Linked DNA regions of Lonchura striata. The protein of the gene in region 2 binds, or shares a complex with, the protein of the main gene of each other region. Links are inferred from orthologs where the notes say so. Each region holds a gene or a part of one and is shown on either strand. Other genes may lie near its edges. The genes, in order: TCTN1 and coiled-coil and C2 domain-containing protein 2A.

What was found.
Region 1: coiled-coil and C2 domain-containing protein 2A (region 2) and TCTN1 share a complex: the UniProt entries of both Homo sapiens proteins name them as parts of the tectonic-like complex. The link is inferred for Lonchura striata from reciprocal best matches to the Homo sapiens genes CC2D2A and TCTN1.

What each region holds. Positions count from the first base shown.
Region 1 is NC_134620.1:12,015,130-12,030,495, reverse strand, and holds the start of TCTN1 (tectonic-1), read left to right. Parts: upstream 1-9,460; 5' UTR 9,461-9,467; coding exon 9,468-9,657; intron 9,658-10,346; exon of another isoform or gene 10,347-11,184; coding exon of another isoform or gene 11,185-11,203; coding exon 11,204-11,324; intron 11,325-13,632; coding exon 13,633-13,763; intron 13,764-14,120; coding exon 14,121-14,287; intron 14,288-14,692; coding exon 14,693-14,780; intron 14,781-15,366. Other genes in the region: PPTC7 (protein phosphatase PTC7 homolog), read right to left, coding at 3,314-3,515. UniProt on the Homo sapiens protein: Component of the tectonic-like complex, a complex localized at the transition zone of primary cilia and acting as a barrier that prevents diffusion of transmembrane proteins between the cilia and plasma membranes.
Region 2 is NC_134606.1:15,058,596-15,074,687, forward strand, and holds the start of coiled-coil and C2 domain-containing protein 2A, read left to right. Parts: upstream 1-9,729; 5' UTR 9,730-9,805; intron 9,806-10,634; 5' UTR 10,635-10,642; coding exon 10,643-10,880; intron 10,881-11,645; coding exon of another isoform or gene 11,646-12,277; exon of another isoform or gene 12,278-12,383; intron 12,384-16,092. UniProt on the Homo sapiens protein: Component of the tectonic-like complex, a complex localized at the transition zone of primary cilia and acting as a barrier that prevents diffusion of transmembrane proteins between the cilia and plasma membranes.

The DNA.
Region 1 (15,366 bases), on a different chromosome or scaffold from region 2:
AACAACCAGTTTCCTGCTGCCAGACAGTTTTTCCTTACTCCGGGGAACAGAAATAGTTTGCAAGAGTCAAGTCACCCTGGCTACACCCAAACTTGTACCCAGCACAGACATTGTATAAGTGATGCTGTCACGGGATGCGCGCTGGCTGCTGCAATGTTTCAATAATGAGTCACACAACAGCTTGGAAAATCCATAAAAAACGGGCAAAGACATCGGGAGCCTGATAAGGCCAGAACAAGCAAAAATAGGCAGATCCCAAAATTAAGGAAAAAAACTATCACTAGCATGTGACATCTCAAAATTTCTAGAGGTGAAAACCTTGGCTTTAACTTCTGCCTTTGGTAATTTAGTGAAATGAGTGTAAAACTGTTTAAAATTTGGCTTGTTCCTGTGTAGTAAAAATCCTACTTGCATGCTAATGAGAAAAAACAGAGGTGTCAGAGTTTTGGTTTTCAGCTTTGAAAAAAAACAGTATTTCTGTCCTCAAAAGTTCCAAAGGCATCACACATTAAGCAGTACAGAACATCTCCCAAATCTCTGTGAGTGATTTCAGTATTCTGAGGATCTGAACACCCAAGACACTGGCAGTGAATGAACAAAAAGTACATCGTGGTACAAGCAGCAGAGAAAGGAAACACAGGCCTGAATTGTAACACTCTAGAGATTAACATTAGTAGTAAAGCCATTTCCTTTCCTTTAGGGTGATCCTTAAGGGAAAACTGTTCTGAGCTTCTCCCTGTGCTCAGAATGGGAAGAAAACATGAAAAATTGACAATTACTTTTCAGATAAAAGCAAAAATGAGAGACAAAACCCTCAAGGATTCAAGTACACCAGTAAAAGGCCTTATCAAGCCTTGAACAACTATGGGAGGACTGAAAGAACCTGAATCTTCACGAGCCTTCTGCTGATCTTACTGTGAAAGGATAAAGCTGAGACTAGAAGACATTGTTAAACATTCAGCCTTTGAACTATACAGCACACATACAACAAAAGAAGTGTTTAGCATTTTGATTCTGCTATAAACACACTGCCAAGTCAACTCTTGTTTGACCTAAGAAAATGAATCCCCAAGCACTCATGCCAAACGGCTGGGAGTAGTTCTTTTACTGCTCCACCACACCCAATCCATCCCACACAGGCAGGCTTTCCATAGTACACTGCTTCTAGAAAACACTGGCACAGAGGAATGTTACATTAATTATCTGGCCTGGCTTTCTCACTGAAGACTACTCACTCCAAGCGATACACCTGAAATTTAATGTATCAAGTGTTCGCTTTGGCTCAAATCATGTCAACCTCTTCCTTAAATGTCAAAAAATTAAATTTGAAACCCAACAGTGCAGCTGAGGCAGTTTTGCTGAGGTGCAGAGTTAGGTACTGAGGTAGCACAAAATTTATAAGGGTCTTAAAAAAAATCATGAAGGAACCTCAGATGTGTGATGGGTTTGAGGGCAGGAAAACCCTGGTGATGCTGAAACTGTCTCTGCAGCAGTGCAGAAGGGCTGGTTGAAAGAGCAGAGAGATGATGCCAGCAGCAAAAGCTGGGAGAAAACTCCCATGCCTGTAAACCTAAGAGCTACAGATGAAGATGAAAGAGCATCAAGTTAGAAGCATCAAAACCCACCTGAACATTGCTGGTTTTGCAGAAAGTACAAAGATTTTGAATTTTCAGTATGTATATTAAAAAAACAACAAAGAACTGACATAAAAATAGCTTTACCAGGGGAGAAATCCCAAAATCAAACAAACCAACAGGTTTTCTATTTAAATTATGTGCTTCTTGGTATTTAAGACATCCTGAGTCTGCTGCCCTCTTTGCTGTTTGATCCTTAAGTGGAGCTACAATTCTGAGGACAGTTTGTTTGTTTCCAAGTTGCCATGAAAATTAATGCAAAGACCAACTTAGAAATTGAACTCTCTGTTGATTCCAGCAGGAACACAAGACAAACTGTAGGTCCACATACAGTAATCACCAAATATGGCCAAAACCCCCTAACAATATTCAAATAGGGCTAAATCTGTCTCTTCCCCACACAGAGAGTCCACTTCAAAGTACAGGAGATCCTGCATTTCTCTTAAGGGCAAACACCAATTGCTCAGTTATCTATCAGTGCTGGTCTAGCATGAACTTTAAAGGCAGCCAGGGTTAGTCACATGCTAAAGGAAGGGCATCCAACAGCTAATTCTAATCCCAAAAAATTTATCTGGAAGAAGCACCACAGGGAAGATGATGAGTGTCTAAAATGCACCCAGCAACCTTCCACATCTTGAGAGCTCTGGCATCACTCTTACAGTAACAGCTTCCTTGAGAATAAGCAGCAATAACTGTTACCTAGCACCAACTTGCAGCTTCCTGAGGAAAACCTCTCGCTCAGTTAAATGGCAACCAAGTTACAATGACAGCGCCAAACAGAGGAACCACCAACCACTTTCACAGCAGGAGACAGCACAGTGCAACCCCACAGGTTTAAAATAAATAAATGCAAAAACAATAACAACAACAACAAAAAAAAACCACCAAAACCACGGGCAGTGGCAGGGAGAAGGAAGCTTTTTTTTAAGTGTCAAAGTTTTGGTAAAAATTTGCTTCTGGCAGTTACACCACGACGAACTTGTGCAGAGTATCAGTCAGCCAAATTCAACCTTGAGTACACAGGAGAAAGGTCAAAGCACTGTCAAAAGCAATGTTCTTTAGTCTAAAGATTCTACTGATTATCCATAATTATTCACTACTTCTAAAATTTGAACCCTTAAGATTCATTTCGCCAGTGATTCTGAACCGGAGAGTGCAATCAGGCCAGAACAAAGAACGAAACTGAAGTTTGACATTTGATTCCAGTCTCAATGTCACTCTGCCTTTCACTTGACAAGGACATTGCACGCCTTAAAATCAGGAAGTGCCTGTTCAAGTGATCTTGTATGCTTAAATGCAATGTATGTACACGGGGCTCAGGTTTTAAAGAAAGACGGAAACTGAAACGAACTGGGAAGTGTTTCTCTGAGTTTTGGAGCCACCAGGCCTTACAGGCACCCACAGGTGAAACGCCCAGACTGGGCCCGGACACCCGGCACACACAACCCCCCATGCTAAAGGCAGGGAGAGCTGCAACAAAGAGCCCGAGAGCTTCCTTGGGAAGCTAAAAAAGCGAAGTCACGGTGACAATGACAGGCAGAACCAGCTCCTTTGTCTGGGACCGGGGGTTGAGCCGCTCGCCACGTGCAGCTCCGGGAAGAAGGAGGAGGAGGAGGAGGAGGAGGAGAGGGCCACACCGCGAGGCCGGAGCCACCTTAGCCCCCGGCCCGGCCACTCACCCAGCACATCCGCGGTGCGGTGCCGCGCCACGAAACAGGCGTCATCCCCGTAGCACATGCCTTTCTTGAGGATGCCCTTGCGGAAATCTTTGCCGAAGCCACAGCTGGCCGTCACCAGGCTGTAGTCGCGGGAGTCCGTCTGCGAGAGGCCGCCCAGGACCGCCCGCGCCACCAGCCTGCCGTAGGAGAGCACCGAGAACATGGCGTGGGGCGCCCAGCAGCCGAGCGCCAGGAACGCGGGGATCCACCGGCGCAGCCGCCTCCTGCCCGCCGAGCGCCAGCCGCAGGGCGCCAGCCTTCCTTCCCCTGCCCGCCGGCCCGCGCCGCCGCCGCTCCGAGCCCTGCCCGCCGCGGAGCCTCGTCCGTCCGGCCGCGGCTGCCGTTCACCCGCCCTCGCTGCCCCTCACGGGCCGCGCGCTGCCCCTCACGGCCGGGCTCGCCGGCAGCGCCCCCGCCTTCCGCGCCACCCTCCCCGCCCCCCGAGGGGGGCCGTGCCAGCTCCCCGCTGCCCGCGGAGCTCTCGGGGCTCCCCTCCGGGCTCGCTCCCCGCCGCCCGCCGTGCCCGGTCAGAGCCGCCCGCGCCGCCCCCGCGCCGCGCCGCCCGCCGCCGCCGCCATCTTCGCCGCGCGTGCTGAGGCAAGGTGAGGGCCCCGGCGCTGGGCGGGGCGCGCGGCCGGCCCCGCCCCCGCAGCCCGCCTCCCGGCGCGCGTGCGCGGCGGCGGCGCGCGGCCGCGCCCCCGCCCCCCATTGGCTCTCCGCCCCGCCTCATTTGCATGTTGCGGGACAATAACAGCGGGCGGCTCCCGGCAGCCCCCGCGGCGCCGAGCGGGGTCCGCGCCCCCGCCCCCGCCGGCTCCCTGCCGCAATTAGCGCAATTAACGTTCTCACACCGGGCACAGCGCGGCTGCGCCTAACCCACATACTTGCCCTCCACGCCCCGCGCGTCTCGCGTGCTCCGAATAACTCGCGGGGACTCGCTGGCCGCCGGTGCTTCGTGCCTGCTGAGGACGGTTATGTGAGTCACGCCGCGCAAAAAATGTGTTGGGTTTTGGTTTTTTTTTCCCCCAAGGATGACTCGCCCTGTTCTGCCCGGCTCGGTGCGGCCGGGGACACAGCCAGCTCAGCGCTCTGCGTGAGAGGCTTCTCTGCAAATCCGTGGCAAGGCTGGCAGTTAATCCATTTTGGTTAAGGAACGTGAAATGCCAAACAAAAGCCTCACGAGAAGGGTGTGTTGTGTGTGCAGTCATCGCTCAAACCCCATAAAATCACGTTAATTGTACTTGAGAGTGACACAAAGCTCTCAGCTGGGCATCTTCAACAGCAACAACTTCAAGGCATCAATGTCGCAAAGGCCCGCAATACTCAAAAAGACCCAAATCCTCATTTTCTGCAGCTCGGTTTTCCGTGCTGCTCGTGGGTGTGCAAACAATGATTTTGTCCCCTTGGAAGTTCCCAGCAGGTTGCTTTGCAAAATCGTTTAATTCCTCTGGGTACAGGCACAAGAGGCTGCTGCCACTTGCATAACCCGAGACAACAAACAATAGAGGTGGAAATGCAGCAGAGGCAAGTGTGAAACCTGCCCCCAGAGCTGCCTGCAGTGAAAGGAAGAACTCTGCCACAGCTGAAGCACCCTCATTATCCCAAGAGAGGCATTTTGCTCCCTGTGCACTTGGACAGAGACTATATTACCCCCCTTATACTGCTAAAGGCTTAAGCAATGTGTAGAATTATCCAGTTAACGCTGAAATTGTATCCAAACTTATTTAAAAATTAATCCTCCTGTTAAAACAGGGAGAAATGAACACGAGGAGCAGCCCAGGCCCAGTGTGGTGGATTAGGGAATGGCTGCACAGCTGAATGTGCCAATGTGCTGGAGATAAGGGCGTGCTGCTGCCAGGGCCCGGCAGGGTGTGAGAGCAGACAAACAAGGTGGCTTCTCTCAGTGCCTCACACCCTCCTTTATCAGCAAAGGGAAGCACATATTTGCAGAGCTTCCCCCACAGAATCATTCTTTCCCTTCCTTGAGTCTCATTCTTCCTCCTCCTTGTCCCGGTCCTGTCTGGTTCAAGTCCAGCCTGGTCTAACCCCTTGCTCTGTGCTGCTGCCTGCAGTGCCCTGAGGCAGCTCGGGTTGCTGCAAGGTGACCTGTCCTGCATCACCTGGCTGTGCTGCTCAGCCCACAGCTAAAGCCCAGTTCTCCATGCCTCAATGCCGACTTTTCCAGGGCTGGAAGGGTTCTCTCTGTGCCACTTCGCCCAGCAACCACGGCTCAAACGCTGAGGAACATCGTGAGCTCAGGGCTGACAAACTCACTTGGCAGAGCACGACTCTGTGCTTCCCTAAGTGCCCCCAAGCCAAGGCACACCAGGAGCTCTTCACACTCCTCCACCCATGAAAGTCTTTGAAACAGCCTCCCTGGGGAAGTGGTGGAGTCACAAACCCTTGAAGAGATCAAAAAACAAGTAGATGTGGCACTTTGTGACACCGTTTAGTGGCATGGGGGTATTTGGTCAAAGGTTGGGCTTGATCTCGGAAGTCTTTTCCAGTCTTAATGGTCCCATGATTCTACTCCAGGTCACCCACCCAAGTCTGTCCAGACAGCCAGACAACCTCATCATTTCCATGGTAATTAGTAACCTCTGATGAACTCTGTCACTCCTGCAGGAGGATGTTGTGCCCAGATGAAAAACTGCTCCTGGTTTTCATTCAGAGGATATCTGGGCTCCTGTTAGACAAAAACCCAATTATTTTTAATAAAATACTTCAGAACTGGTTTTCTTCACTGTTCAGTGTCAGTCTGGATAGTTCTCCCTGTAAATCCCTCCCAGCCCATGCCCTGCTGCCTTACTCAGTGTTATTCTTGTACCCTGAGAGTCAATATCCTGCCAAGTGATATTTGTTTAAAATTCCCCAATGCACAAATTTGGCACAAAAACTGGACCAAAGGGCATCCCCCTGGTTACTGCAGCTGGGTGGAATCTTCCCACCTCAAAGTCCAAGATCTATTTACATCAGCTCACTTAAGCTGCAAAAACAAAATGAACTCTTCCTGCTAGGCTTGTCCAGACCAATAAATGCACTGGGGAGTGCAAAACAGAAGTGCTGCACAAAGGAATCAACTGCTGGAGGCACGAGCAGGTTTCCAGCTTGTTTTAAAACTGATTCACTCATAGCTGATGTCAGTCCTTCCAAGTATCTGAGCCCTGAGATTGGAGTGTGATAAATATTACCTGTAATGCCATCTGCTGTACAGACTGCCTCAGCTCCTCACTATTTATTAAAAGGCTAATCTTGTGCTGGACCAAAATGCAGTTTATTTCAGCCTGGTTTGACTTTGTTTGGACTCTTAATTCCAAATGCCTGTCCACTTGGACTTTTAAAGTGATCTGTCATAGGGCAAACCCCGTGTTACCTCTGAAAAGATGAAATTCAAGACAGCACAGTTGGATTAAAAAGAATACTAATGTGAGGAGGACAACATGAGACTTCCCACATGACGTGTCAAGAGAAGATGCAAAGTCAGAAGATCACCAACAGGAATCACAGAATGGTTTGGATCAAATATCATCTCATTCCATCCCTTGCCATGGGCAGGGACATCTGGGACACTCCCAGGTTGCTCCAACCTGGCCTTGCACACTTCCAGGGATGGGGCAGTCACAGCTTCTATAATGCTTAAATGCACATCAGAATCTTGCTGCTGAAACTGTAATTGAAACAGTAATAGAGTAAATCCCTGAATGTGTTTTTTAATAAACAGGCATCTCCTGCCTCTCAAATTGCTTGAATTTTCATTTTACAGGACCTCCCACATAAGGATCACAGTGCCCTTTTTAATTATTAATTAGCTCATGTTGACAGAATAAATTAAAATCTCTCTGATGGAGAACAAGCATTATGTATTGATGCCCTGATCTTATCCTACACACTTGGAGTTGCTCTTTGGAACCTGTTTCAGAAGTCCAATACCAGGCTGAGTTTTCTGGTGGGGGGTTTCTCAAATTGTTTTTCTTAGATGTCTTGCCTTTCTCTGTTTTTTTTTTTTTTTTTTCTATTACAGCAAGTATTTTAAGTGGATTTAGGTGAACTGTTGCTGTGAGTGAAGCCCTAAAAAAAAAAGGTCACGAGAAAACCAGATTAATTCCATCCTACTTTGCTTTTGAACAGTTGCCCACTTCTATTCCATTTCAATGGTAGATGCAGTAAGAATTAATACCTCTTTATTCATCCAGCTCCTGCCCACATTCATCCAGGGTGCAATCTGTGCTTTCAGATTTCAGCAAGGCTTGGTTTTCATCTTGGAGTTGGTCCCCTGTGCACCATCAGCTTTGCCATGTAATTCCCGATGCAAGAAGAATTTATTAAATTGTTTTCCCCTGTGCAATGTCATCAGCCCTCTTCTACTGATTTTAAAGGCATGAGAAACATGTAAACTAACAAATAGAGGTGTTTTAGTATTAATTATCTCATGACACTGCAGTGGAACAAGGACACAGATCACAACCAGTGACGATAAAATAAACCAAGCACCACTCTCCCTCCAAGCCTGCAAAATAATTTCCAAATTTCCAACTTTGTAGGACTTGTAGGGAGGAGAAACATCTCCATCCTTGTTAACTGACCATGTGGGAGTTTAGTCAAGGAAGTTGAAGGTGCTGTAAGGCCCTAAACCAGCTCCATCCAGAGGGAGGTTGTATCTCAGCCACGTGTTCCAGCTGTCCTTCCTGCAGGATTGCCTCTCTTGTTGTTCCTTTGTTGTGGGACAGTGAAAGAGATGCAGCTGTAAAGATTCCCAGGATTTCCTCCAAACGCAGGCACATATCCTCTCCAGTGGCTGCAGCCAGTCCTGGTACAGCCTCAGTGAAAATAAAGCCCTGTGGTGCCATTTTCACCGTTTCACAGGTCCGTTTCAAAATGGAAGTGTGTGGTCACTCTAAGTTTGAAAAAAATAACAAACCCAACACCAGCAGCAGCATTTTGGCCACCTCAGGAACAGCAAACAGACTGAAAACACCAGTTCTTCATCCCCATGGAAGAAGGTAAAACCAGAGATTTTGGGTTATATCTCACAAGGAAGGCAGGCTGGAGGTTATTTTTGGCGAGGTTATTTTGGGGTGCAATTTCTGAGGCAGAGTAGAGCACAGGGGGTTCTCACCTTTTGTGTCACTGTGTCCTTGGAGGAATGAGGCCATTCCAAGGATGACTCCAGGATTTTGTTCCACATGCCTGGAGCTTTTGAAACCCATTGGTCACCAGCTCTTTGATAATATCAAACAGCCTCGGCAGAGGAGGGCTCTCTGGAGTTATTCCCATTTTCAGTGGGTGCAGCTGGAGTTTTTAGAGTTCTGAGAGCTTTTGTTGCCTTCCCTTCAAGTTCACAGTAATGAACCTGATCAGGGAAATAAAAACAGATAAAAGAATTTTTAAGGCTGGGAATGATCTAAGGAACAATGATCATTTAGTCACTCTCTAGCGCGGTTTTTTTTCCAAACTAGTAGCAAAATAGAGTAATTTAGGTTGAAAAAGACCTCAAAGATAACAGCGCACATAAAAAGATTACTAATAAGATTACTGAATATGCTAAGTACTGAAGACACACGGCATCTTCAAAAGGAGAAACTTCAACAGTTTAAAAATTGCTTTAGGAAAAATTACTAAAAAAATTTTCCAAAAGTGTTGTGAAATATAGTTATAGATATGTAGACTATATATCTATATAAATATATAATATTTTATATCTTGCAAAGGGCCATTCCCCAATATTTTTTTTTTATGCGTGGCCTTCCAATAACTTTTTCCCAAACCACCTACGTGGGTTACACTTGGATCACTACACCTGAAACCCTTCCCGTGGCTCTGAGGGGGCACCGAGCCCTCATCACCGCCGGGCTGTTCCTGAGGGCGCTGGGTGGCACAAGCGGCCGCCTGGCACCACCACGGCGGCCATATCCAGCCAGAACCCTGCGCGTGGCCTCCCTGCGAGGCTCCCCGCGCTGTGGGGCGGCGAGGGAGCCCGAGGGCGGCTGGAGGAGCCGCACACACCGAGCCATCCCCTTACCGAGCCCTGCCCTCACCCCACCCGCCATCTTCCCGCGCCGCCGCCCTTCCCCTCAGCGCACCAAATCTCGCGAGAGCCGGACTCGCCCTTCCCGCCATGCCCGCGCTCCCTAGCAACGCGCCGTTGCTAAGGGCGGCCGCCATGGCGGCGCCGCCGGGGCTCGGCGTTTTCCTCGTCCTCATCCTCCTCCTTCCGCTCCGGGCAGAAGAGCCGGCCGCGGAGCCCGCAGACACTCGTGATGCCGCACAGGCGCCGGTCCGCAGCGCGCCGGCCCCGGTCACGGACGGTGGGTGCGCTGCGGGGCGCCGGCGGCGCTGCCCGGCTGAGGGGGGCTCCGCTGGCGGCCTCACTCGGGCATTCGGCCTTTGGCCTCCCCTTCGCATTGCGGCCTCCCGGGGCTGGCACACCCGCCCGGCTTCTCCCGGGGATCTCTGGGGCTCTCTGCAGCGCTGCTTGCTCGGGCACCCCTGGGCGGGTGCAGGCGCCCGGAGCCTCCCCAGCGAGCCCGGAGCAGCCCCGGGCACGCTGAGGGCGGCACGGACACCGCAGACCGGGCATGGCACAGCGCTGAGGGGCGGAGGGGTGGAGGGCAGGGTCTCCTGCCCACCCAGCGCTGCTCTGGGCACAGCGGGCCCGGAGTGCCCGGGTGTCCCTGGGGAGCTCCGCCGCACCTGGAGCTGGCTGCACGCTTCGCCCCGAGGCTCAGCCTCGGCGCTGATACATTGTCGTAAAAACAGAGCTCACGAAGTTTAGTTATTATGTTCTCAGAAGGTGTTTCCCGCTGTATAATTTGCTACATTTTTATATCACTTTTATATAGGGTGGTGTTGCCCTGAGCTGTGCTTTCCATGGGTTACTTGCCAAACGGAACTCACCCCAGTGCTACCTCCTTAGGGAAAGGAGATTTAAATCCCTAGTGTCACAGGCATAACCTTGCAATCTAATCATCCATGTTTAAACTTCTCTTGTTTACAGGGTGAGCTAAAGATCCAGGGCTAAACTCAGCCAAAAGAACAGTCAGAACTTCAGAGATTCCAGGAAATACCTGGATACTGTTCAGGTGGTCAGAGAGCATCCAGGGAGCCACAGGGAAACAGGCAGCAAAGTGAAATAAAGGAATTAGTTATGAAAATATTCTTTGAATGTCTTTCTTATAAAACACTGGCCTTAATTTTCCTCATTCTGTGCTATTCTTAAATCCAGATTCATTATAGAACAGCATCTCTCAAAAACAGTTCAGTAGAATAATCTCCATTCTTTGAATTTATAAACTTGAAGACCTCAGAGAGTTTGAAGAATTTGCCAAGTATATTTTACTGAGACAGTTTACAGAATTACTAGCAATTACACTGTCTGTGATTACAATATGTCACAGTATCTAAAAACAGAGAGAAAAAACAATTTCAAAGAAGTAAATTATGGTTGCGTTGGCACATCAGGGAAATGTATTCCTGAACCCTGAGCCATCCTCAATACTTGTAAACATCTCAAAATGTTTTATTTTCCTTCCCAATAACTTGAAACAAGCAGATAAACACACCTTGTTGGTATCTCTTATTTTTTTTCCTCTGCCAGGCTGAATAGATTTTCACACCTCCAAAATCCCTGTTGGGTTTTGTTTCTCAGGGAACAGGTTTTAGCACGTCTTGATTTTGTCCATGTGTTCCAAATAAATTTGCTGAGCAGCAGAAAAGATGGCTTTTAAAAATAACTTCAAGAAAACTTGAATTTGGAGAAGACTTTTGGCCAGTGTCAGAAGCAGGGCGAGGTGAGAGGTGGGAGTGTTTGGGTTTGAGTCCCCGCTGCCGTTCTGATGTTGCTCTCCGGTGCAGTTGCCAAGATGTGTGTCTGCGACCTGCTGGTGGCACAGTGCGACACCAACTGCTGCTGTGACCCCGACTGCAGCGCCGAGGACTTCAGCCTCTTCACCGCGTGCTCGGTGCCCCTCGTCGTGTGAGTGCAGAAATCCTCAGAAAGCACAAAACCCACAAAATCCTCCTTCATTTGCTGCCTGCCTTTGGCACGGCTCTGTCTTCTCCTCTCAGCAATTCCCACCCCTCCCTCCTGCACTCTGTCCCTGACCGGGCAGAGCAGCAAATCCACCTCCCACCTCTTCTTTCCCTCTCATTCCCTCTTTCCTCCTGTTTCACCGTGTTGTTCCCTGTGGGCATTTAGGTGGTGATGCTTTTTTTGGGGTGGAAGTGTTGTAGATGTAGGTGAAACCAGAGGGAAGAAATGATGGTGTCTGACTCCAGAAGGTTGAATGATTTCTTTATTATAACTATACTATAATACATTAATATACTATTTAAAGGAGATATTAAAACTACAAACCTACTTTTTCTAACTACCATATCCAACTCCCTCCCAACTCCTGACCCTCTCTGAGTCCAGCCACAGGTGAGTTGGATTGGCAATCAGGCTCCAACAATCCTCACCAGAATCCAACCAAGCAATCACTCACCCCAGGTAAACAATTTTCCAAACACATTCCACATGGGAAAAAACAAGGAGCAGAAATAGAAATTGTTTTCTCTTTCTTTCCTCTGTGCTCCTCCATGAAAAATCCTGAAATAGAGAAGAATGTGCCTGCCACATGGAAGAATGATGAATCTTTAGAATTTGATCAATGCAGTGTCTGGAAGTTAAGAAAACTGATACCAAAGGACCAATCTGGCCACTTCTCTAGATCACCAGTTGTTATCAGTAACCTCTTTGGTTACATTTATGATATCAGCTACACAATTAATCAGTTCAGAGGTTGTTGAAATAGTGTGAGCATTTTTCTGACCCTAATTTTCCCAATCTGCTCCCCCAATGCCCCTTCACAAATGGTAAAATGTAACATTGTACCAAAAAAGTAAAGCCAAGAGTTGTTTCTTTGCTATTTAATCTGAAAACACCTTCACCCAATTCCATCTTCTCAAAGAGGAGTTAAGAAAGTTCACTTCAAAATAATAATGTGCAAAAAAAAAAAAAAAAAAAAAAAAAATCTCTTGGTGACTTCTCAGAACAATAAGTGCAGCTTTTCAACCCACCTTCTGTATAAATTATGCCAATCTGAGCACTGGGTTTATTCTTGGTGCTTTGGAATTTGAATTAGCAGTCATGCCAGACTGTGCTTTCTTATTGTTCTGGCACACAAAAGACTCCTGCTCCCCATTTACAGATATTTATATAGATCAGAAAGGTCTAATCAACACCCTCCTGAGTGACACTTTAATTGCCTCAGATGACTGTGCTGCCTTTGTCAACTAGAAATGCCTCAAATGAAACTGTGTTTCTTTGCCCAAATTCTTTTGTGTAAAATGTTTCTTTTGCATTAAAAGCCAGGGGATTTTCAGTGTCTGCAGGTGTTGTGGGTCTCATTATTTACATCAGAGTTTATCTACATTTGCATATTTGTGTTATTTTGGCTGATCTCAAGGCAGAGGCCATGAGATCTCTGAAGCAGCAGCAGAAGGGTGTGATTTATGCTGGGATCCTTTTAACAAGTGATTCACCTCATGGAAGAGCTCAACTCTAGGCTTCAAAATTTCTGAAAGTCATTTCACTTCTCCAGGGCCTGTCCTTAGCTGCTCTATGCTGCTAAATCAAATTTCACAGGGATGTAGCATGTAGGACACACCAGTGCTGCCAGGCTCTGAACTGGCACATTCTCCTGCAGCTCTGAGCTCCTGATGAGCCTTAAACACTTTTCCAAGACAGGCTGGGTTATTTCACCTCCTGTTCCTCATTCTGCCACTTCATTCACTTGCATCTTGAGCAGGAATTCTTCCCATTCCCTGCTCAAATTGAATATTATTCCAACATCCACAAAACTGACCTGTTTTCCTGCTCTGACATCCCACTTGGGTTGTAGAAATAAAAGTGCTGCTGAGCTGTGTGTGACCTGTGGTGCAGCCCTGCATTTTTGGGGTCTCAACCATCTGGACCCCACACAATTTGCCATTTTCTCTCTCATATTGTAATTTGTTTTCCCTCCCCCAGTCTGTTTCTTACCTACCTTCATGTTGCTGCTCACAGTTTCCTCTGCCGAATAAAACATGTCGGAGAATTTTCTAGTATTTATTATTAAGCACAGAGTATAAAACAATAGGAACCTCCTAAGGATGCACAATTGTTCTACAAAATTATGTTAAATTCAGTAATTTAATCCTTTTTTGTTTTTTCTGTTGCTGCCTCAGTAGATTAAAAGAACTTTAAAATCTGGTCAACACTAACTTCTAGTGGATCATGAATTTATTTTGTTTCTTTGCAGAGGTGACAGCCAGCTGTGTAGTCAGAAGGCTGCTGTGTATTCTCTTGATGTTGAAGCAAATCCACCAGAAAGGATATTTAAAATAATTGACCAAGTCAATCCCAGTATTTTCTGCATTCATGCTGCAAACTGTAAGTAGAGTTGTAGGCAATATTAAGCATTGTGGTGTTATTTTTTGTTGGCTCTTTAGGTGCCAGAAAAAAAGACTAAATTTAAAACTATTTTTATTTTATTAATCCCCTCAGGAAACTGGTAATTCTGTCTGCTCACAGTTCTTATGTTATGATCCTTTCACTTGTGAAAACAGAATTAAACATCTGGTACTCTTGGTCTTCTCTGTTGGAAAAAACAAAATACTTTGGGTTTTTTATTTTTGTAAATAATTTAGCATCCTAAATAAATCATGTTTAAAGTTGTCTCATTGTTACTAAGTGTCATTTCTGCATCTTTTTTCCTTAAATTATCTCCTTCTTTAAATATTTTGACAGATAAACAAGCCTTGTACCTCAAAACCCCTGAAATCCCAACAGCAGAAAATTTTGATCAGTTGCTTGACAAATATGGTGGTGCTTCTTTCAGTGCTGAGCCTGACAGCTGGAATTTGGATACAGATGCTCAAAATCCCCCTGAGGCAAATGAAACTTCCAGATATGAGGTAAATTATCTCTGATTCAATAGGAGGTAAATCATATTTGATGCAGTTAGTATTAGATTATTCCAGAAAGAAAAAAATCAGCATTGTTTGCATCTGCTTTTAAATAATGCAGTTCTGCTGAAAGAAGCAAAATTTATATTGGACTTCAAATTCAGAAATACAAAAATAAGAAATGTAATGTTTTGTGTTTAGTTACTTAAAAAGTGATCTAGATTTTTAAGATCTTTGAAAAACAAGGCACTTTTTTGGGTTTTTTTGCTACTTTCAACATAAAGCTGTAGCAGTGACTGAAAAATTGCTTCACAGAGCATTATTGAGAGATCCTGTGGAAATAGGTACTGCTTTTATTCATATTTGTTGTTAATAAAAATGGGCTGAAACACACCTGTAATTTTTATTTGGCAGTATGGGGTTCCTGTCCAGACAGAAGATGCATTTCTAAGGCTGCCAAGTCCTGTTGTCTCTTCTTGGTGCTCTGATGCAAATCCTGCAGGTTGGAAAGTACACTTGAATCTCATTTTTTTTGCTCTCTAATATTCTGCTCTTAGATTAACCAGTCAGAAATCTGGCACACTCCCCATGGAGAATTCAGCTTAAAGTTCACAAGCAGATGATTTTCAAATCACTTCTGTTTCTCTGTTTTGTTTGGTTTTTTTAAAACATAGACTAGAAATTGTCTTGCATCTCTGTTAAACATTCAAAGTGAGATATGTAAATCCCTGAGAATCTTGTTAAAGGGTTTTTAATCCAACAATAAAATGTCCTGTTTGGCATAATTGGTTTAATCCAACAGTACAAGGGTGACACCCTGAGGGAGGAGGGGTTTGCACCAAGCCAGCCCTGCCTGGGCAGCCTTTGGCAGATTCTCTTTGCTCAGGGTTCTTTGTTCAGATTTGCAGACTGAGCTCTGCATTTGAACCTTGCACACAATTTCCTGAAAATCTACAGAGGTGGAGGGGAAAAAAAAAAATAAAAATATCCACAACCAAAGCCACACCTGCATTTCCCAAACCCCACTGTCATCATTGAATGTGGTCTTGTAAGAGTCAGGGTGCTGATTACAGGACTGAAGTCTCTTG
Region 2 (16,092 bases):
AGCTCTTAAAACAGATTTTAGATTTTAACAATATGTTGTAAGAACAATCAAAATTTTTTTTTTCAAATAAGCAAGTTTGACACTTCTCAGTACATGGCAATTCATGTACTAAACAAAATCTAAACAAGCTGGACTGAGACTCTACAAATACAAACAGTCCAACAGAGAAATGGTTCCTATTAGGAGACAGATGAAAGCAAGACAAGATTCTGAAGGACACAGGTTGTCTACGTGGCTCAGTGAATGCTTCAGTGGGGAGAGGCATAAAGATCCATATGGAATTAAACAAACCCTTGAAAGCCTTGTGCTGAAAACTGTTAATTCCATATGTGTAGACTAAACTTATGCTGCAGGATCACAATGCTTTCTTCCTCTTTCAATAAGTACAGCCTGCAACCTCCCAGAGCCCTGCGGGTGCTGACATCCCAGAAATCCCTGCCAGCCTCTCTGGGGTGTCCCATTACCCTGCCAATGGTCCAGGACCCCATTTCAGCCCAGCTGACCCCCATCCACAAGCTGATATTCTGATCTGGCCTCAGGTTGTCTCTGGTCACCTGCAGGCTGCCCTGGTTCCTGCTGGGGATGGGCTCTGGCTGGTGAGACCCTGCCTTGCTACCCTGTTCCCTGTGAGCTCCATCGCTCCCAGTCCCAGGGAACAGCCAGCCCCTGCCTATCACAATAACCTGCACCAGATATGAAGTTGTAGAACATCAGCCTCATCAAGTAGAAGTGCAGGTCCTGAGTGCTGGGTACCAGCTGGGTGCCAGAGATACCGAGTAGGCTTGGGTGCAGACAGCTCTCCTGGTAAATCTGCTGGGAGCAAGGATACATTGACCCTTCTGCTTTTCTATGGAAACAGAAATCTTTGTTTCAGTAAGAAAATATCAAACCATACAGAATTTAAATGGAATTTTAGTTCACAGCTCCAAACTATTTAGAGCTGTCTTTCTAATATGCATGCCCTTCTGTCTAACAAGGTCAACCTCTCTGAAAATAAAAGGTTTGATTTAATCACGAAGAAGCATACTTTAAAAACCTGTTATTACCCAAAAGCAGACATTACATAAATTTTATTCTATTTTTATATCTTCCTGGCTCCAATCTCCTGAATCTGACATTAACCATAACAATTGCACATGTGACTAAACCAGGCCAAATTCTGCTTTTTCTGTTCCAATATAAATATGGAAGTAATATTGTTGAAGTAATAGCTTTGAGGTAGACTCCCTCCACGAGAACAAGACTTTTCTCAGAACAGCCAGAGTCAGGAAAGTATGCTGATTTTGAAGCCAGGTTTTTACTGACAAGTCAGAGCAGTAAAATAGAGACCACCAGGGTTGACATGAGAGCCTGTCAGTCCCAGAGGCTGGGGACACAAGCCACTGGAGGCTTCAAAGCTCTCATGCCATTTCAAAATGCCTTAGGCTTTCAGAACTTCAAGCACCACCAATTTACAGTAAAATCTCCGTTTTTAAATGCATTTATCATTTGTGCTGAGACACAGCCACTCACACCTCTGTGAGATTCAGATTCACCACCATCTCTCTCATGTTTGACTTCAGTTTCTTGAAGCTCTGTCTTTGCTTCTCTTGACCAAGCCAACATTACACCAAGGGTCAGAAGATGGAGACCTAGCAGCTAACTCTGGGCAGTGAATACTGCAGTGCCCTCTGGATGTAGTCCTGCAAGAAAGCTGCCAGCATCGATATGTCCACAGGTTGCTAACACACTGAGCACTGTGAGGTGTGCACAGCCTGGATCTCCCTTTGCTGTCCTGAACATCTGGGTTGCCAGGTAGGAAAAAACTTCCCAGTTTTCCTCCTGGAAAAGCTATCAGCTTGGTTTGTTGCAAGTGTTACACCTAAAAGCTTAACTATGCTGGTTTTTGAAAAATTTTACTCATGTCAAGCCATGGACAGATATCCTCTTCCATTAACAGCACAACAGGGACAAGAGACTGCTATTCAGCTGAACAGGGCTGCTCCCTGCCCCAGGTCACAGCCTCCACTTCTCCCCTGTCAGAGAAGCTTATGGGCACCTTCCCCAACTTTCTTCAGAAAAATCAACCAGCTTAGTGCAGTCTAAGCCTTTAACATGCTCCTTTTGTCTCTGCCTAGTTCAATGTAGAATGTAGTCCCTGGCTGGATGCCTACTTTTCCATACAGTTCCCAGAAAGGCACAGTGCCAGGGTGATATCATTTGATGAACTTCCAGAAGAAAACAATGTGCTGGAGGAGGAGTGTCCTTTTGAGGGTCTTGAAGTTTTATTCACATTTCTTTTCTCACATGGTGAACACTGTTCTTTGGTGCCATATGCTGTACTAAGGGAGCAACTGGGTGAAGGAGAATCCATCTTCAGAGGTGTCCATGATCTGAAAAACAACATATACCTTGAGGGCATGAGAATTAAGCCATGCCCAGGGACTACAGCATATTCAGCTATATATCCAGTGAAGTTCCCAAGTAGTTCTTGCTTTGCTGTCTGTCTCCCATCAGTCACTCTTGTGCACAGTGAATGCTGTCATGAGGGGAGCTCTCTATGGACTTCTGCTCACAACGTCCAGGTGGGAAGGCACAAGGCAGGGGAAGTCTGTCCCCATGACTTGTGTCAAGAATTTGTGACTTTTGTTCTTATTTGTCCCCATGTGCCTTGCAGTTTGACATTTTATTTTTGTGCCCTGTTTTTTCCTCTTTCCAGACCATCCAAAATGGTTTACCCAGCCTGTGTTTTATTTCCCTTCTATCACCACAAGGTCAGCAAGGCACAATGATCTAAGACAGGAAATGGAAATTTTCCTGGTAAGGGCTGGAGAGGAACCAAGAGGAGGAAACATGCTTGAATTGAAAGACTTTTCACAGGAGATGGGCACACTGCTCTAGGCATCTATCCACATCTTTAAATGCTGACATGCTTCCATATGCTGTATTCCAGTCCAGATTTGTAACCAACCCTTCAAATTCCAGGTCATCCCTGAAGACAGCTTCTAATTTATGACTCCTGTCTCTTTTTCCTATTTTATTTTAGGGAAGTAGAGAACACAATTCAAATAATCCTGTGCCTGAGGTGTAGGCACCCTCATATCCTGAGTCTCCCAGTGTTAAATCCTGGCTATTTTTCTCTACACTGCAAGCAAACATGTTATTGACTCCATGTCACTTGCCAACTGTAAGCAACTGGCCTCACTTCTTGGCTTTCTGTCAAAACAAATTCTGTAAGGTTATATTTATTTGTGTGTTCTGGTACAGCTGGCAGTGAAACTGCTTTGCTTGCCAGCATTCTTGTTAAAATTCCCACCAGCTGAGTCAAGCTATCTCACCAATACACACTTTGACTAGGCCGTCTGGCATTTTTCGGAAAAACAACCTTCCAAATAATGGGAATACCTGGAGATACTATGTATAAAGACAGACACTGAGAAATAAAATTGCTCCCACGCTTCTGATATTTTGAAAGTCAAGCATACTAAACTTCTAGCCTTGATTACATGCACTTGCTTTTTAATGGAGGCTTGAGACATGGTTGAAGAATCTGACTGCATTCAACATAGTTATAAAGAAGATTGTTCAAACATAACTGACTATAAACTTAAGGGCACGAGAATATTAAATGTCAGCACTGCTAATGAGGCCTTTAAGGATTTTTTTTCTCAGAAATATTTAGTTAATGGTCCTTCCCACTGGCTGATTGATTCCTTTGGGCACCATCAGTTGTTCTGGTACTGGGAACCAGAAGTTCAGACTGCTCAAAACTGTTGGGTCACTTGCCCCTTCTTACACAAGGGAAACAAAACAAAACAAATCATGTGAAGATTGCTGGATTGTGTAGGTAACCCAAGCAGTGTGGTAGTGGCCAGCTGTTGTCTTGATTCATTAGAGTAAGGTGTGGTGTTCCAGGTGAAGCTCTGAAAGTTCAGCATAGCCTCCATAGCACAAAACAATCTGGGAGATATATAAAGCTGTGGCCAGCTGAAGGTGGATGATCACTTCAAAATCAATGGGAAAAAGAAATCCATCATTAAGACTCATATTTTAATGGCATAAAAATCATACAGAATAAAGAAACTGCTGAGTGTGGCGTGCCAAACCACAAGCACGTGTTTCTAAGGCCGTGTAGAAAGGTAAATGGTGGTGGCAGATTGAATGGCAGATTTGAACCCTTCAGGCATGTGGACACAGCTGACTTTTGCAGATCATGTTTTGAGATGGAAAAGACTGGCATAGCCAGTGGGGTTTCAAATGAATTGCTGAAGATGTCTCTCTCTCTGCTTCTCATCCTGACTTATTATCTCCTTATTCACTGTTTTTCCTACCCTACGGTTCCTGGATGGGAGAGTTGGGGAAGGTCTGTGAATCTCACAGTGAGGATTCCTGGTAGCTATGAGGGGTATTTCGGGCCTTTGCATTTGGAAAGCAAAAGGACATATAGACTATCTTGTTCTTTACCAATAATCCATTGCCAGGGCTGCAGACAGAAAGGGCCCACAAGTATCACAATTTCTCATCTACATCTTTGTGTACAAGGAAGTTAAACACATCTTCTACTGCCTAAACATCTGTGTGTATGCATTGGAAGTGAATTCAAAGCTCGCAAAGTAAGACAAAAGTAAGAACTTAGCCAGGGCAGCTTGTGACTAATAGCTACTGGTGCTTGACCCAGTTTTTATTTACAACAGATTCATGAGAAATTTTCTAGTCTTGTTTCAAAACTATGCCAATTAATAAATTTTAGAATTAGCCCTACATATTTGAACAAGTGAGAAAGATTAGATCATATACCAGAAAGTCTCAAAACTAGGAATTTCTTACAATCAATCCCTTAATTTCTAAGTTTAAAAAAATGTTAGTGACATAGTCTGAGTATACCAGTAATGAAATGAGATTTCCCAGTGGCTTGATGATAAACCCTCTGCTGAACCCTGGCTTCAATAGGGATCTAACTTACAAAGTATGTTCTCAAGGACATAATAGAATTATAGAACAGTTTGTCTTGGAAGAGACCTTTAAAAGTCATCTAGTCCAACCCCCCTGCAATCATCAGGCACATCTTCAACTAGATCGCTTTGCTTACAGCCCTGTTCAACCTGGCCTTGAATGTTTTCAGGGATGGGGCATTGACGACCACCTCTCTAGACAACCAGTTCCAGTGTTTTGCCATCATCATTATTAAAAATGTCTTCTTTCTGTCTGTTTTAAATCTACCCTATTTTAGTTTAAAGCCATATCCTCTTGTCCTATTGCAACAGGCCCTACTAAACACTCTGTCTCCATCTTTTGCAAAAGTACCACCTTTAAGTACTGACTTTCAGCACTTCATAGGAGAGTTGCTCCAGATCTTTGATTGCCTTTGTGGTCTCTTCTGAACCTGCTCCAGGATGTCCATGTCTGTCCTCACTGAAGACCCCAGATTTGGACACAGCATTCCAGGTGGGATCTCACAAGAGTGTAGTAGAGAGGCATAAGCACCTCTCTTGACCTGCTGGCCATGCTGCTTTTGATTCTTTAGACCTGCCACCTTAACAGACTGCAACAAGGTCCAGGAAAGCTTTTTGAATGTTTTTCCAGTATTAAATGAATCAGATAACTTTAAGAACTCACTTGGAAAATCTGCTTCTGTCTTCGTTCGACAAGACAGGAGTCTGTGAAAGAGGGCAAAGCCTCCTGTGCAATGGAGAACGGCAAACCCCCCTCCCTCTGAATTACCAGGATCTTTAAATTAAAAGGCTCTCAGGCAAAGATGTGGGAATGGGAGTAACAATTCTTTACTAGGAGAAAACTAGACAACAATTTAAAAAGGCAAATGCAATCGGTACAAACAAAACCAGTGAAAAAAAAAGTCCAGAACCTGAGGAGTCGGGGTGCCAGTAGCAGTTCTGCTGGGACAATTGATCCCCTTGCAGTGGTTGATGAATTGCAGCTGAAGTGGTGATCTTTAGAAGGGTATAGTTTTCCTCTGAAGATCTGGTGGCAGTGGGGCCGGTCTTCCTCTGCGCCGGGGTTGCCTCTGAGCTCCGCCGCCGCCTCCCTGTGCCCCGGCTGTTTCGCTGCGAGATCCCGCGAAAGAAGAGAGAGCGCTGCTTCTCTGGGAATCCCGCGAAGAGAGAGAGCGAGCTGCTTCTCTCGGAGTCCCGCCCAGAGAGCTGCCTCTCTCCCCAAAAAGCTACCCCTTTATACAATAATAGAGTGCTTGGCTTCCCCCTCTGGGTGGGACCCCTCACGGTGTTACATTTACCAGCCCTGCATTGAATCAGTCAATGGCCCACTAACAAACCATTACCTCTTAGGAGCAAAACCGGTTCTTGGAAAAGATAACAAAACCTGTCCAACAGGTTTGCCTTCAACAGATGGCAAATAGAATACAAGCTTATCTTACAACCTAGGACAGCTTCAGAAACCATTCTTAGCAAACTGGTCTAGTGAAAAGTGCCCCTGCCCACAGCAGGGAGGCTGGAACTAGATGATCTTAAAGGTCCCTTCCAACACAGACCATCCCATGATTCTATGACTATAACTGATCAGCATGTCCATCATCTTCCAGTGAATGCCTTGATCTGCATTCTTCCTCTACCTAGTGGATTTGAAACTTATTGAAATGCCATTTCCTAAATGTGGAATAACATTATTCTAACTCTGAGTTTATATAATTTTCATTATTATTTTTGGTAATGGCTATGATGAAGATGTATGCTATTGTTCTGAAGAAGAATACCATGTGCTTATTCTGGCTTGCAGTTTTTGGAAAAATACACTGAACTTCTCAAATGTTGTTTTTCTCTGGAGACAAATCACTTGGCATGTATAAATGACTTTGTTTCCTACCCCAGTTTATGGACAAAAGTTTTTTATCTTTGAAAAGGACAACCAAAAGCCAAGAACAAAGTGTTATTTATGGTTCACATTCTGCCTCCCAGTTAACTCTCTGTGAACAAATATTTAACTACAACAATAAAACTATAACAATAGATGACTCCTGACAAAGTGATTTGGGAAGTCTATTATACCCTCTAACTTCTTAAAACCATGTGAACTGAAATCTCTTTGGCCTCCTAAGTCAGCCTGAACTTTCAAAAGCCATGGTCATATGTTCTTTTTCACCTTTAATGTTTCAGTGATGCTTTTAATGGCACTCACTGGGAAACAGGGGGCATGGGTTCAACACTGTTCTCCCTTCCGTGGTCTGAGGAGATTTCTTTTTTAGTTGTTTTACAAGAGACTGCAATAACAGACAGGCACCCCCTCCTTATAAGTTGACTACTGTTATGCACAAAAAAATGCAAGAGTCTGAATTCAAAGGGCAAGAGAATTCCTGATTCTCTGGCTTAATGCATGGTTTCCCAAATGTAATTTTTTGGCTCCCACTGTTGGAAGTAGCTTTCTGTGTTTCCCCAAGAATAAATTCAGGTCTGTAAACATCATCACCTCAACCATTATCATAATTTTCTCCCAAGCCCAGCTCTGTTTGCCTAACTGCAGTCCTACCATTCAGCTACACAGCCCCTCACTCCTTAAGACCCCCAACACATAGATGAAATCTCTGTATATTGTCCTCTATGCTTTCTCCATCCCAAACTGGTTCTCCAAACACCATGCCCCAGGCATCTAAGGTACATCCCTACACTCCTATCTCAACAACCATATTCCCCTCACCTTCCCCAAATGACATTTTTCCCATGGTCTTTTCAGAAATACATGTCGCAAACTAATTAATTTCCTGTAGGCACATGAGAAGAACAGCAGGGGAGGTCTGGGAGCTGGAGACAGCTTCACAAATCAATAAGGTACTGGCCAGCCAGTGACAGGAACAGCTGTGTGAAGTTTTTTACTCTGATTTGTAAAATATCCTTGACACTGGCAAAACTAGAAATTGTTGAGATTATTTTTGCCTGGCTTACATGCAACACAGTGTGGGAATATCCAGCCTACTGATTCAGACTTTCATCTGGCAAAGGGCAGGATTTTTTTCCAGTCCTTGATCCTTAGGTCATGTCTGCTTCTTATCCATCAGCTTTGTGTAAAATGCATATGCAGCTTTAAGCATGAAGTCCCTCCAAGTTGCTCCCTCCTGGCTAAGTGTTTGAAGTTTTTCTTTTCTGCAAAGAGTTTTTTGTCCCTGATTTAAGTCCCATGAAAGTCCATAAGCTTTTTTTGAGTTTTCTCAGTAGTACATCAGAGCAAACGTCTTTGTGAGGTTTGTCTTGTAGCTAACAACTGCCTTGGAGTCATCATTCACTGCTCTGCTGTATTGTTCAGCATTCATATGCTAATCCATTTGTGGAGACTGCTATGCGTGACTGTATGGTAAGGTTTTATCAAATAACAGCAAAATTAATAGTTTGGTTTCTGCCAATTTGATGCAAGATGTCTAAAATGAAAAGCAAAATATCTATCACCAAAGAGAATTTTGGAGCATTATTTCTCTCCAAAAGATTTTCGTCTTTTTAACTGCATTACCACTGGTACCATAACAGTTTCTAATTTTCCGCTCTTTAAAATAAAAGATTCTTCATAAAGACTGTGTATATGTATGTGTATATGTATATGTGCATGTATATACATATATGCTGATCATTTCCTTGCTGAATAGACCTGACCATGCCATCCTTATAGCAGCTGAAACACCATGAACTGCAAATAAATGTAATGGCTTGGGGTTTTAAATAAATCAGTTAATGTTAATCATTATCACAGAGGGGAGAATGAGAACAACAATTTCTAGATTAAAAGGCTCTGCAGAGGGATGCTGGATCAGTGGGCTGAGGCTGGTTGTGTGAGGTTCAACAAAGTGCCAGGTCCTGCAACCCCAGGCAGCACCACAGGCTGGGGGTAGAGTGGCTGGAAAGCTGCCCAGTGGAAAAGGACCTGGGGGTGCTGGTGACAGTGACTGACCACGAGCCAGCTGTGCCCAGGTGGCCAAGAAGGCCAATGGCACCTGGGCTGTCCCAGCAGCAGTGTGGCCAGTGGGACCAGGGCAGTGATTGTCCCCCCATACTGGGCACTGGTGAGGCCACTCCTCAAATCCTGTGTTCAGCTTTGGAACCCCACTTCAAGAAATCTATTGAGGTGCTGGAGCTTGTCCAGGGAAGGGCAGCAGAGCTGATGAAGGGTCTGGAGCACAGGTCCTATGAAGAGCTACTGAGGGAGCTGTTTAGCCCTAAGGTTTGGGGGAGACCTTATCACATTGTACAACTCCCTGAAAGGAGGTGGTAGCCAGGTGGGGGTCAGTCTCATCTCCCAGGGAACAAGTGACGGGGTGAAAGGAAATAATGTCAAATTGTGGCACTGGAGGTTTAGATTGAGTAGCAGGAAATCTGTCTTCACTGGTTTCACAGAAAGGCTTGACTAGCATTGGAACAGGCTGCCCAGGAAGGTGGCAGAGTCACCATCTCTGGAAGAGAAATGTGGATTTTCAAGAAACATGTGGATTTTACATTGTTTAGTGATGAGTATGGTGATGATGTTAGGTGGATGTCTGGACTCAATAATCTTATCTTAAAGGTCTTTTCCAACCTTAATTATTAGTCTGTGATTCACTGTTAAGAAAAGATAGACTGCATTTCACAAACATTTTTCTCAATCGCCCATTCTGTTTTTTCTCTTTCTTCCCACAGAAACCTGTGGATTCTGATTTCCTTGAATGCTGTAAATTAGCTCTGACAGAATGGACAGCTCCAATAAAAAAACTCACACAAATTTTCTGAGAAGACATCAAAGGAACTAGAAATAACAGCTTGACTTGAAGGTTCTCACCTGACCCATGACTGACTCTCTGCTAATGCAACACTAAATTTAAGACGCCTTTGTATATCAGGTACTGCAATTATTCAGCATGTCACTGTTTATACAGTTACTTTTCTTTAGTATCCCAGTACACAGTGGGACAGAGAAATCTAATTTTTATCCAGTCGCTTATGAAAACACCCAAATACCATATATTAGGATTTAACCAATTTTCTTGCAAGATATTGCAACACAGTTCATTGTATATGACAGCCCAAGCCAGGTTTAAAAAACTCAGCCTGATAGCAGTCCATTCACACTCCACCATCCCCTGCAGGGCAGGGCAGCTGCCTGGTTCCACCTGACAGATGAGGGTGAAGTGTTTATTTGTGCTGTTTCCAAGGGGACCTGAAGCTGTAGCTCTCTAACTGCCATCCTTTCTCCAGCTTCAGCAAGTTTCTGCTGCAGTTATTTAAGATGGAGATTAATTTGCCACCATAAGTGCAAATTTCAAAATGAAATGAAGGTGTAAGCTTTATCCTCACTAACTCCCTGCAGCAAGAAGGGTTTTATCTGTAAAGTTTATATAGGGACCAAAGACAAAATACTATGCATTCAAAGATCTTTGAATTGAAAAAAAATCCAGATTATTTTTTCACATGTCAACATTTGGCCCCAAAAAGCTGATATTCACCAGTTACACTATGTCAGTCTACAGCTACTTACTTGAAAGACAAACAGCAACATGTAAGGCGCCCAGAAAAAGCTCCAACCTCACACTTTCCTCCTTGCCTCCTACACGGATTTTGGTAATGCAGAAATTTCAGGCTGAGGTCTGCACCTCTACTTGTGCATAATGCATCACAGTGTCACGCTTATTTGCATATGACAAGAGTGTCTTACTAAACTTTTTTTTCCAGATCTGAGGATGTTTGTGTTGCTGTACATTACAAGTTTTGCCATCTACACAAGCGAACAGCCTCTTCAAAGCCAGACCAAAGGAGAAAATTACTACACCAGATACATCTGCAGCATCCCAGGTTTGCCAGGCCCTGCCGGCCCCCCTGGAGCCAGCGGATCCCCGGGGCCTCATGGACGCATTGGTCTTCCAGGAAGAGATGGCAGAGATGGCAGGAAGGGAGAAAAAGGTGAAAAAGGGAGTGCAGGTACTGATTATTTGTGTAACCTAACACAGTAGTGCAAGAAAACAAGACCTTTCATCATCACTGTTATCATCATCACTATATCTATCTATCTATCTATCTATCTATCTATCTATCTATCTATCTATCTATCTATTTATTTATCTATCTATCTATCTATCTGTTTATCTATCTATCTATCTATGTATATATAGGTATATATATATCTGTATATTTATATAGATGAGTGTGTGTATGTGTCTGTGTGGGTTTAAGTGTGATGCATATATAAATACAGTAAGAGTATGCACATATATCAGTGTAAAGAAATGTAAATGCACAACCTTTCTTTGCACAGATGCTAAGAAAAGATTTGGAAAGAATGAAGCATGCTTGGTGCCCCACCTGTGCCATTAGCCAGTTGTTAATAATTAGAAGGTTCTTAGGTATGCACTAAAAATGCTCTATTTTTAGGAAATATTTAGCACACAAGTATAACTACGTAGGTAGTCATGCTGCTGTCCCTGCCATCAGTAGTGCCTGTTAGTTCAGGCGGCAATAGACTGATTACATATAACATTCTTTAATGTGTAATCAAGACACATGAAGATAAGTAGGAATTACTGGCATTCCTTTTTCAAACTTACTAGAAAACTTTGAAAGTATTTCTAGATATTTTGAAATTCTGACCATGTTTTTCTTGTTTGTTCAGGTACACGCAGTAGCCCACACAATCATTTACTGAGGTGATATGTATTAACGATTAACTAACTTAAAATGTTTTTGAAGGTTTAAGAGGAAAGACTGGGCCCTTAGGACCAGCTGGAGAGAAAGGAGACCAAGGTCAGTCTGGTAAGAAAGGACCTGGAGGACTGACTGGTGCCAAAGGTGAAGTAGGTCCAGCTGGACCACCTGGACCTAAGGGAGATAAAGGAGACCGAGGAGAGCCAGGTGCACCAGGGGTCTGCAAGTGTGGAAAGATAGTGCTGAAATCTGCCTTTTCTGTTGGCATCACCACAAGCTACCCAGAGGAAAGACTACCAATTGTATTCAATAAAGTCCTCTTCAATGAGGGGGAGCATTACAACCCGTCCACAGGGAAGTTCATTTGTGCCATCCCAGGGATTTATTATTTTTCTTACGATATCACCTTAGCCAACAAGCATCTTGCGATTGGGCTGGTGCACAATGGCAAGTACCGGATCAAGACTTTTGATGCCAACACCGGCAACCACGACGTTGCTTCTGGATCCACAGTGATCTACCTTCAGCCAGAAGATGAAGTATGGCTTGAAATCTTCTACACTGACCAAAATGGTCTCTTTTCTGATCCAACATGGGCAGACAGTTTGTTTTCTGGATTTCTCTTATATGTTGATACAGACTACCTTGATGCTTTATCAGATGAAGATGAGCTCTGAAGCAGATGTCAAATGACATTCAAACTGGAGGCCCCAGCATAGGATTTTATTCATCTGTGTGGGGAAAACAAAGTTGAAATGAAAAAAAAAATCTCTGGGTGTTCATTCTTGTTTTGATTGGAACCAAATCTGAGCTCGTAAGAATGTTCTAGAACCTAGGATGGATTTTTTTTTTTTTAACGAACAGCAGGGATATCAAAATGAACTGTAATGAACAAAAGACTGCATCACTCCAGGACTGATTCTTTCCTAAAATTACATTTATAATACTATTTAAACAAATTTAAGATACTGTACATTGGATTTGATATAAAATGTATTATTTTGCATTTTAGAATGGTTATTTTGTATATTACATTAAAGTAAAATTGAACAATTCACTGCAATATCATTGTTGGTCATTTTAAGATGGGCAATGCATTTAAAACAGATAGGAGAGGAATAAAATAGGAATCACTGCTTCAGGATGCCACTGCACAGGTCACAAGACCAGTCTCGTGATATTTACGACAACAAATAGCATTCATACCAACCTCACAGTAGGTACGTGCAGATTTGTACTAGCTGAGGACTACTCAATAGCAGCCATAAAAGACTAGAACAAAGCTATCAAATATATAAAGAAATTAAAAACTGGAAGATCTGGAAACTTGGAGATAGTCAGTATTCAGTGGGTATTTTCAGTGTAATTCCAAGTGTCTTTGCTATTCTTTAAATGCTATCTATTATCTTTATGAGAAATGTGGAAAAAAAGCATAAAATTTTTGCTGAAGATAATTGTGGATGCCCAAAAATGACAGGACAGTAATCACTAATCAGAGTAAATTATATGAAGTGAAGTGAGTCACACCACTAAAGCAGAAGTTATATTTCAATATGACCAAATGCAATAAAATAAATGTAGGTCACAGACAAGATGGAAAACTGCATTCAGCAAATCAATGACCTTGGAAAAGATACATGGGACCTCATGGATTATCAGCTAAATAGGAGTAATAAAAGTAGGCTGTTGCTACCACCCTTTGGATGTATGATAAATGGAATTAAAAGTAGAGATGAATAGTGGTTACCAAGAAAGCAACTACTTCTGTCAGTGCTTCAAAAACTTACTTGAAAGTTGCAAAAAAAATGTTTATACTTCTATTCATGGGGATTATACAAGAGATGTAACAAGGTCAATTTACTTTTCTTGTCAATGAGGTTAAGAGGTGATTTAATCACCTGTACCCATCTGGAGATAAAATTTCTGGTAGTATCTGGCACTTTCCTCTATCAGATAGGAGCACAGCAAGGTCCATTGGTGATAAACAGTATCAATCCCCACTGGAAATGGGAAATCCATCTTACCAGTGGCAGCAACCAATGACTGTAAAAATATCTTGGAATATCACGAGTTCTCCAGCATTCAACACCAGTCAAGACTGGCAATCTTTCATTGGGTCCTCTTACTTTCCAAGAATTTGCAATCCTTTATTCATCCCAGATTTACAGAGACCTGCTGTTTCTAACAATTATTCAGATAACGTTAAATGTTAGTGATCTGTGTTGCACAACTCTTGAGCCCACTTTAGTTATGACCAAGGTAGATGGAAATTTCAAGTTTTTTCTGTGTACTTGATGGATTAAGAAAGTTACAACCAGACAAAATGACAAAAAAGATGCTGCTGAGGTTGCAGAACCAGCACAATGGTTATGTATGGAACATCAGTGTGTGCACATGCACATCATCAGCATTCACAACTGTGAGTGCATGACTGCTGCTTTGTGCAGTGAACAGGTGCAAAGCCCTGACCACAAATCAAACTGGCAATGCTTGTACAACCATTATTTTATTTGACAGTGAGAGATGCCTGATAGAAGACAACAGCAGATTATTTTTCTAACTAGACATCTAATTTATTAGTGTCACACAAGGGCTGCTTTCTGTGAAAAATATGGAAAAGAACACTTGGAGATTTGGTTTATCACCCTGCTGTACAATCATTTATACATCTGCAAACTAAGGACAATATGAGTGCAAAATGCAGTCCAATCATAATTTACAATTATGATTGATGCTGATGCCTCACAGCCATCAGTGCGTATCTGAGGCACAAAGACCATCACCACTGTCCTATGCTGCCTGCACTGAATTCCACAGGACAGAACAAGGATCGTACCTAGCCCATGACTTCCAGGAAGCATAATTCAATAGATGCAGGACTGGACCCAGAATATGTTTCATGCAGCAAAACCAACTAAAAGAAGTTTTTTATTAGATTGTTATCTTATAAAATATGGAAATAGGCTTATGATATTTGAACCAGTATAAACTTTATGTTAGGAGTAACATATTAGTTTTATTAGAATTACAAAATCTGATAAACCCAGCCTTAAGGAAAGTGTATGACTGATTTTCTCCAGACTCCACAGAAATGTATTGAAGTTATAATACATCTGGAAATTTTCAGACAAAACTAATTTTTCTTAATGAAACAGAGGAAATATACAGCTTTATACTGAAATATTGCTGGTTGCAATCCTAACTATAGGCTAAGTGCTCCCATGTAAAAAATCTGTAAAAATGAATCCAGTATAAAAGATGTATTACAACCACACCCATGTTGAAAATGACACCATGGGACTAAGTAAACCAAGAGTTTACTTTTCTTAGCAATTTTAGATTTATGTTTGTACAATTATAGAAAAGTAAAGCTAATTTCCCAAAGTTTTCCCATTTGGATTCTATGCTTTTTTGAACAGTTTAAAATTTTGGCGTGAAGAGTTAAAAATAAGTCATCCTGTTAGATTATTTCTATAAATTTTGGCAAGAAGAATACTTCTACTACACATATGGACGACATATGTATATAAGTACCATGTGTCCCTGCCCTCATTAAAGGTCTCAAGACTTTATCCTAAAGTAAATCATTGCTATTGCTAGTATATTATTTGAAAATATATCAATTTTGATGACATGATATTGCATTTGGGGCATTTATCTGTCTAAATTTGAATTTATATGGAAAATATCTTGGGCTGATGTCTTCCCACAATTCACATCAGTACACGGGGAAGTCTGGTTAGTTTCAAAACATTGCAGGAGCAAAAGAGCAAAATTTCTTCATGATCAGATTTGAAATTAATCAATGATTTCTATACAACATATTGGTCATTCTACACATGCCATAATGACATATAAAATTAGGCATTCAGATCAAATTAGTCATCTAGACTCTGCCTACAGTCCACAGAGGAAATAAGTGCCACCAGGAGAAACTGCCAGGGGGAAGCATGTCTTTACTGCAGTACCAACTCTTGGGCTTCCTGATCAAGGCTGCAAGAACTCTTACAAACCTCAAATGATCAGGAAACCATCAAACAATATTAAGAATATCAGTATTCCTGAGATTCTTAACTAAAAGTATATATATACATATATTTACTTGGGATATGTGTATCTTTTTAAATCTACCTAACACCATTTAGGTACTATTACAATAAGCAAAAATATACACAACTGAAAGCAACTTATTTAATTTCCGACCAAGAATGTTACATTAGTTGTTACCTTCCACAGCTCACCCACTAAGTTCTGTTCATATTCATATACCAAGATATTTACTGACTAAATTAGTTTTCACTGGTTTATTTATTGATTTATTCACCCACTGGCAGGTAATTAATATTCAGAATAATTATACTAATGCTGTATAAGCAGTTTGGTCAGTAGGAACTTCAGTTATATGTGGAAACGGGGCTTGCTTTGGATATGTCATTCAGTAGCTGATGAGTCCCATCCAAGAAATAATACATGAAAGTAAAAAGGAAAAAAA